Rattus norvegicus: one gene and its partner. The protein of the gene in region 2 purifies or fractionates together with the protein of the main gene of each other region. This does not show direct contact. Links are inferred from orthologs where the notes say so. Each region holds a gene or a part of one and is shown on either strand. Other genes may lie near its edges.

The links.
Region 1: the proteins of Cdk5rap2 (region 2) and Pcnt purify together in Homo sapiens (co-immunoprecipitation; 4 studies listed by BioGRID and IntAct, with this or other methods). This does not show direct contact. The link is inferred for Rattus norvegicus from reciprocal best matches to the Homo sapiens genes CDK5RAP2 and PCNT.

What each region holds. Positions count from the first base shown.
Region 1 is NC_086038.1:12,198,680-12,202,492, reverse strand, and holds part of Pcnt (pericentrin), read right to left. Parts: intron 3,723-3,813; coding exon 3,645-3,722; intron 3,059-3,644; coding exon 2,803-3,058; intron 530-2,802; coding exon 474-529; intron 284-473; coding exon 109-283; intron 1-108. UniProt on the Homo sapiens protein: Integral component of the filamentous matrix of the centrosome involved in the initial establishment of organized microtubule arrays in both mitosis and meiosis. Plays a role, together with DISC1, in the microtubule network formation.
Region 2 is NC_086023.1:88,846,762-88,850,574, forward strand, and holds part of Cdk5rap2 (CDK5 regulatory subunit-associated protein 2), read right to left. Parts: intron 3,329-3,813; coding exon 2,755-3,328; intron 966-2,754; coding exon 733-965; intron 1-732. UniProt on the Homo sapiens protein: Potential regulator of CDK5 activity via its interaction with CDK5R1. Negative regulator of centriole disengagement (licensing) which maintains centriole engagement and cohesion. Involved in regulation of mitotic spindle orientation.

The DNA of each region.
Region 1 (3,813 bases), on a different chromosome or scaffold from region 2:
AAACAAAGACGGGAAAAGGCAAGTCCACTGCAGACAGTGCTCTCCCTAGCAGGCACTCAGCCCCTCACCGACACCCCCCATTACGCTCACTCTGAAGCAGGGCCTCACCTTCAGCCTCATGTTTGGCTTGAAAAATCTTCTCCAATTCAGCCTTCTGTTCCGAGAGCTCTTTCTGAAACTGGTTTTGCAAACCCTCCATTTCCGACTGATGCTTTGCAGACAACTCTTTGCGGAGAGTTTCCAAACATAACTCTCTTTCAGATTCCCAATCCTGCTTCAGGGTCTAATTTAATAGAAAAAGCAGGTTGTGGCACAACCCAATCTCTGAGGAACGAGGTCAACAAAGAATTGACCTCCTACCAGCACATTCCAGCTCCCTTGACTGACTTTTCTGCCTTATGATGGGGGAGGTCAGTGGAATGTGAAGGTAAAACGGAATACGCACAGAACTATAGTCCCAACCAATCACACACCTCCATCATCTGAACGGTCTTCTCCATTTCTGAACGGAACTTTTCCTTAAGCTCAGCTGCAAGACAAAATGTTCACAAGTTGTTCAGACCACAGGATCTCAACTTTCTCCACAATCTCCTTACCCAGGAGATAATGGGGCTCAAGCTCCCACTGTCCACTCCATTGCACACAGGATGACAAGACATCCAGGTGATGGTTCGTTTAAGTATAAGACTTACTCACATCAAAAGAAAGAACGCTGAGGTTCCCAGGCTCTCAGGTTCTCCTAAGAGTACAGCTGAAGATCAGCTGCTGGGGTCCCATCCCCAGCCCCTCCAAACCCGTGTGAACCTTCAGACAAGAGAACTGCGGGGCACTGTAGTTCATGTGCCCACTCCAGGGCCAAGGTAAGCTACTGGAGAGTAAGACATGAGGAACTGTCCTACCACCCAAGAGCTCCCAACTCAAGCAGAGAGAAGCGCAAGAAGATAGAGTCCAGGAAGACGTCCCCGGATGGAAAGGTGCACAGAGGGTAGGCCTGAAGAAGACAAACAGGGCAGGGGGCAGGGGGCAGGGGGCAGGGGGCAGGGGGCAGGGGGCAGGGGGCAGGGGGCAGGGGGGTAGGGGGTAGGAGGCAGGGGGCAGGGGGTAGGAGGCAGGGGGCAGGGAGTAGGAGGCAGGGGGCAGGGGGCAGTACAAGGCAGCAGCAGACAAGTCTAAAGCTGACTGAAGTCTGGAGTCCATCATTGCTGGGTAAAGTACTACTTCCCAGGGTACCAGGGAGCCCTTTGCCTTCCTTCCCTAGGGCTGCAGGCCTAACCAAGGGACCCCAAGGACGACGGCCTCGGCAACTGGGATGGAAAGTGGAAAAGGCTAAAAAGAGAGAGCTTCTATTGGAAAAGAGAATGAAACAAAAACACGTATGTATTTTGTTTCAAAGTGCCAAAAGACACGTGGAAAGCTTGGGAAAAGAAAACTGGTCTTTCCCACTGAGGAGAGCCAGGCAAGGGAGAAGGTTCTCCCCGGCACAGCCACGCTACTCAGCTAGAAAGAAAAATGTTTGTCGCAGGGATGCTGGAAAGGCAAGTAGAAAAGTAAGCCCTCTCTCCAGGTAATGGACTTCCTCACCCTTAGCTATGGAGACACCTACGGAACCTACGTAGATACAGCAATGGCTACCGAAGTGTGCTCCTTTACACAGAGTCTGTGTGACAAGGGAGTTATTTCTCAATAAAGCTGATACTTAGTTATATTTAAAAAAGACGTGGGGCTAAAGAGATAGCTCACAACAGTTAAATGGCTCAAGAACTTCTATATGACCTGGGTACATATCCCAGGACCACACAGTAGCTCGGAACCATCTGTAACTGCAATGCTAGAGGAACAATGTCCTCTTCTGACCGCCACAGGCACTAGACATACATGTGGACCACAGACATAGGTGCAGGCCAAACATCTATACACACAAACTACCACTAACTAAATAACCAACTAAAGAGAAGGGCACCCCGGGCTGCTCTATGGGCAGGTGGCAGCAGACAGAGTGTATCTGACCCAGCACACAGACCTGCAATACGACCATATCTAAGATGAATAGCCAACCCAAGCATGCCCAGTCGAGTTTGCCTGTGTTTGCAGGGGGCCTAGCTGGAACGCAATCAAGGACTGGCCGACAGAGAGAACCCACTGGACGGCTTCCCTCCCTCACAGAAGACCCACTGAATGGCTTATCTCCCTCGGAGGAACAGAAAAACAAAAAACAAAACAAAAACCAGGAACATGGGCTAGAGAGATGGCTCAGCAGTTAACAGCAGTGACTGCTCTTCAGAGGTCCTGAGTTCAATTCCCAGCAACCACATGGTGGCTCACACCCATCTGTAATGGGATCTGATGCCCTCTTCTGGTGTGTCTGAGGACTGTGGAAGTGTAGTCATATGTATAAAATAAACAATTCTTTTAAGAAAAAAAGAAACAGGGGTTGGGGATTTAGCTCAGTGGTAGAGCGCTTACCTAGGAAGCGCAAGGCCCTGGGTTCGGTCCCCAGCTCCGAAAAAAAGAACCAAAAAAAAAAAAAAAAAAGAAACAGGAACGTGTAACGTGTACTTAAGTAAAAGTGATTTGGAAAATCAGCAGGCTGCTTCAAGCGTGTGTGTGTGTGTGTGTGTGTGTGTGTGTGTGTGTGTGTGTGTGTGAGAGAGAGAGAGAGAGAGAGAGAGAGAGAGAGAGAGAGAGAGAGAGAGAGAGAGAGAGAGAATGAATGAGAATATGGATGTGTGAGAAGGGGTGAGAGGTCTGGAAAGAGGACTCCGCTATAACCAGAAAAAGACAAGCGGTACACATGCGCAGTACCTGTCTCCTGCTCGTTGCGGAGCGCCATCTCTTCCTTCTCTCGGGCGTGCTGCTCTCGCATCAGCTCCAGCTCACACTGCTGCCTGCTCTGCAGCAGCGCCAGCTCCTGTGCCCGCCGGCCATTGAGCATTTCCCGCAGCTCCGTCAGCGCGGTCTCTTTCTCCTTCTGCAGGTTGGCCTGCGTCAGCTCCAGCTGTGCTGTATGCATGTTGTTCAGGCTCAAGCGTAGAGCTTCTAGTTCAAGGCTATGGGCTGTCTGCGGGCAGAGGAGCCAGGCCTCATGAGACCCAGGTCAGAAACCCAGATGGCCAGGGGAACGCCAAGCAGAGATTGCAAAAGAACATGGGAGGGAAAGGAGCAACTAACTTGAGGGCGCTGCCCTGTCTCTATGCTGGCATGTGATTGAGAGCAAGAGGGTGCCGCCCCACTCTATGCTGCTGTGTGATGGACAGCCAGAGGGTGCCGCCCCAGCTCTACGCTGCTGTGTGATTGACAGCAAGAGGGTGCCGCCCCAGTCTATGCTGCTGTGTGATGGACAGCAAGAGGGTGCCGCCCCAGCTCTATGCTAGCATGTGACCAACAGCAAACACACATCATAGCCATGGCAGACTCCAAACCGCAGGTGTCCACACGGGACCCTCCATTTGTCTGGGGGAATGGACTTACAGAGAGAAGGCGGAAATAACAAGACAAAAGAGGAGATGGCAAGCCACCGCCCCCACCTGTCTACTTTAGACTAAGTCTCTCCCACCTGCCCACCAGCAACCGGGACTCACTGTGCCCTGGTAACACTGGCAGAGCACAGGTTAAGACCCTGTGAAGCTGAGCGCTGTGCCCATCACCTGGGGTGGCTGTGGCTGCTGCTGTGGCTGCTGCTGTCCCTGCAGGTCAGTCACACCCAGTTCACAGTCTTGTTGTTCCTAGAAGGAAAGCAAAGGATGTAGCCTAGAGAATTCCCAAATACTTCATTCAACATTTGGTCCAATGTGTTGACATGAAAATACTAACACT
Region 2 (3,813 bases):
GTTTCAAAAGCCCATGCAAGGCCAATGTCATGCTCCCTACTCCCTATAAATCATGATGTAGTTCTCAGCTATTGTCTGTATTCTGCCATCTTCCCCACCATGATGACAATGGACTAAACCTCTGAAACTGTAAGCAAACTCCAAATACATGTTTTTTGTTTTCCATATGAGCTGCCTTGGTCATGGTGTCTCTTCATAGCAATAGGACAGTGACTATGACACTGAGTTATTGTCCAATTTTAAGGGCACTGTGATGCTTCAACCAAATAATGTCTACAACATCAAGAACACAAATAGATCTAGAGGGAACAGACTTATGCTAAGAGATCAGTTGTAAAACCCCAGCATGACCATTCATTCCCAACATGATCACAGATAAGGTACTTTCTCTCACAGACCACATTCTTCCACACCATAAAACTGGATCTACTCACTCACTTTCTCCCTATGAGAACAGAGAAAAAGGGAGCAGGAGAATGGGACAGTGATGTCAATGAGTGACAGGACTACTGCTGTCTTACAAATGTCCTGTCCAGTTCTTACCCAATGGGTGGCTGGGAAAAGCAAGGAGAAACAAGAGAAGCAAAGTGCAAAGACTATGAGAAAGAAGGCTGTTTGGGCTTAATGGCAGAACAGCCAGGTCAGTATGTACAGCAAAGGCAAGGAGTCAAATCTCCTGGTGTCCACTGAAGAAGTCACAGAGAGTCACACTGAGTGCCTCTACCTACTTACCATGGAGAAACAGCTTCTCCAGTTGCTCTAGCAGTCCAGCACACTGTGTTAGCTGCTCGCGGAAGCCCTCAGCCACACAACTGTCCACATCACTGGCCTGCAGAAGTTCCTCAAATGCCTTGATCATGGTGCTCATGTGTTGATGGCAAACGACACAGATATCATGACTATCCTTAATTTGCTGCCGCTGAAGAGAGAGCTCCCTTGCTTGGGACTGAACCAATGAATCGTATCTGATAAAAGAGGGAAGGAAAATGTGTGTGTCATTTTAGAATTGAATTTTTGTGACCTTAACACTAATTGGAAAAATGACAGAGCATAATTTCTGGAAGCCCGCAGCTGTACAAGCATATATACTTTAGAAAAATTGAAACTGTACAAGGTCACTCCTTCTTTGAGTTCAAACAGCCAACAAATGCTTAAACAGAGATTCTGCTGCAATATTTGTAACCGTAGAAAGCCCCCAATTAAAGCATAGATTGGCAAGGACTCAGGAGAACAATTAGTTTCCATACACTCTTCAAAGACACTATTCTGAGTTGTAGAAACAATTGCCACAAGGGTCAGGGACCCACTGAAAATTCTCACCAAGTACAAATATGTATATACCAAGGGTAAAAAAATAGGGCTGCTTGCCTCCAACTGAGAGAGTCGGACTCCCGGCTACCACCTTACTGACTGACTAGGTCCCATCATGGGAACAAGTTATCTTAGGTCATCTGGTTCTCCCAGGCTTCTAACAAATGGATTCATTAAAAAAAAAAAAAAAAAAGGAAAAGGAAAAGGAAATATTTCTCAAAGGTATTTAGAGGTAAAGCTTTGCTTCTTAAACACACAGCTTGTGAAGATTTATTATACAATACTGCCCCCTCACCACCAGGTGCCACTCTTCTCTATGCAGTCCCAGGAGTTGTTAAGAGCAAATCAAGGAGGAAAAGCAAACAGCAAGCTGGATCTAGAGTGGCCTGACAGGCACTTCTGTTCACCATGACCACTGTTAATACCAATAACCTACAAGCAAATCACATGACAGCCATCTTAGGTAGGGAACAGTATGGGCTTGAACCCTGGCAGTGGCTCTGACCATGGGCAAGTCACAGAAATCTTTTGAGTCTCAGTTTCTCTGTCTAACAAAAACAAGTTGAGAATGCTCCTGCTCAGTGTGTCTGGAGTTAAATAGTCAGTTCCTTCCCAGTGGGGTGGTTCATGCTTGCAATCCCAGCACTTAGGAGGCAGAGGCAGAAAGATTATGAATTTGAGGGCAGCTTGAACTACGTGGTGAAACTCCATCTCAAAACAAAATGAAACAAACACTTCCGAGCCTGGGGGCTGATACAACAGCCCATCAATAAATAACTTTCCCTCAGTCTTGCTGCTTGGGTAGCCTTGAAAAAAAAATCATTCTAGCTCTTGACAATTCAGAACAGTGCTTTTCTCAAATTAGTAACGAATGAAGGTCAAATTTACAGACTATCCCATTTTTTTGCCGTATCTCATGAAGCCAATGTACATATTTATAACCATAAAGCATTATCTTCATGACCCAAGAATTTCTTGCTTTCAACACAGGCTTATTTCTCTAAAATGACCTTAAAGGGTAAAGATATGGAAAGCATTTATATTCCTCCTAACCTGCTTAGGACATCCATTTTATTTCCACAACATGGCAAAAGCCAATAATAGAGTTCAAAAATAAACACGGCAGGCAGCTCAGTAAACACACTGCAATCCCTGACTGATTGCCGTGGAGTTCTATGCTGAGTCCTCAGCCCAAGCAGGGCAACATCTGTCCTGCCCATCTCAGAAGCTGGCCAGCCCCTAATGCGCATATGGACAGAGTAATGCTGTGCAGCCTAGCCTTTCACTCTGATCCCGGCTGCCTGAAGCCCGGCGAGTTGTCCCCAGGGTACACTATCCACCCATGGAGCACCATTCCTTCAGCAGCTTCTGGGCTTCTACCTAGCAACAACCTAGGAAACCTACAAGCCTAATGAGGCGGGCTGAAGCAGGAATAGGATGTACCTTGATGGCGAGAGGTCTCGGAACTTGTTCTGCAGGTTATGGATTTCACCGAAAAGTTCCAAGTTCAAATCCTGCTCCTTCTGTAGCTCCTGCTCCTGTTCTACCAGCTGCTGCTTGAGGCTCTCTAGCATCTTGCCATCAATTATTTCTGGGGTTAGTGGACGGAGGATTTTCATGTGCTTCACATATCTTACTTGGTGCAAACTTGAAAATGTCATCTCTTCTTCATCGATGTGGCCCTTAGGCTTGTTCAGGCCATCTTGGGCCCCTTCTGTCCCACACAAAACTGTAATAATAGCCTCACTGCACTGAGAATGCTTCTGTAGCTGGACAATGATGTTCCGGTAGCCTTCCAGCTCAGTTTGCAAGTCATGGATTTTCTGTTTTAAGGCTTCTGTATCATCAGGGAGATTGATATTCTCAGACTGGTCAGTTCCAACCACACTGACTTTAACAGAGAGCTGACTCTTGGAATCCAGGTAAGTGGCTATGGAGGGTGGGCCTAAGAAGTCTTCAAGGTTCTCTTTGCATGCTGGTAATAAGGCAAGGTCATCAGGTGGGCAGATTTCAGAATCTGAAAATCAAATACTAATCTTTGTCAGTGACTCCTTTGATGCAATCAACTTTTTAACTCTAGAGTTTCCCACAGTTGAATTCTGAATCTTAAATGTCCCCAAAGTCTGTATATTAAAAGCCTGGTTTATAGAACTACTGGAAAATTGGGCTGTGTTTAGGAGGTGGGGCCTTGTAGAAGAAAATCATCACTAAAGAGGACCTTAAGACCCTATCACCAAAACCCTGGTTCCTAAATGGTTCATAGACACTATAAGGTGAACAGCTATACTTTATCACATGCCCCCACCATGATATTATCCGTCACCAAAGGCTCAGAGTGACAAGTCCAGGCAGTCATGGATTGGACCTATGAACCAAAATACTTTGTTCTTTCAAGTTAATAGCCTTAGAAATGTTATCATGTTCTAGAAAGCTGACTAGCATACTATTTTACCACTCAATCCATCCTCTTTCTCATGTTGGAAGCAACACTGCTACATACAT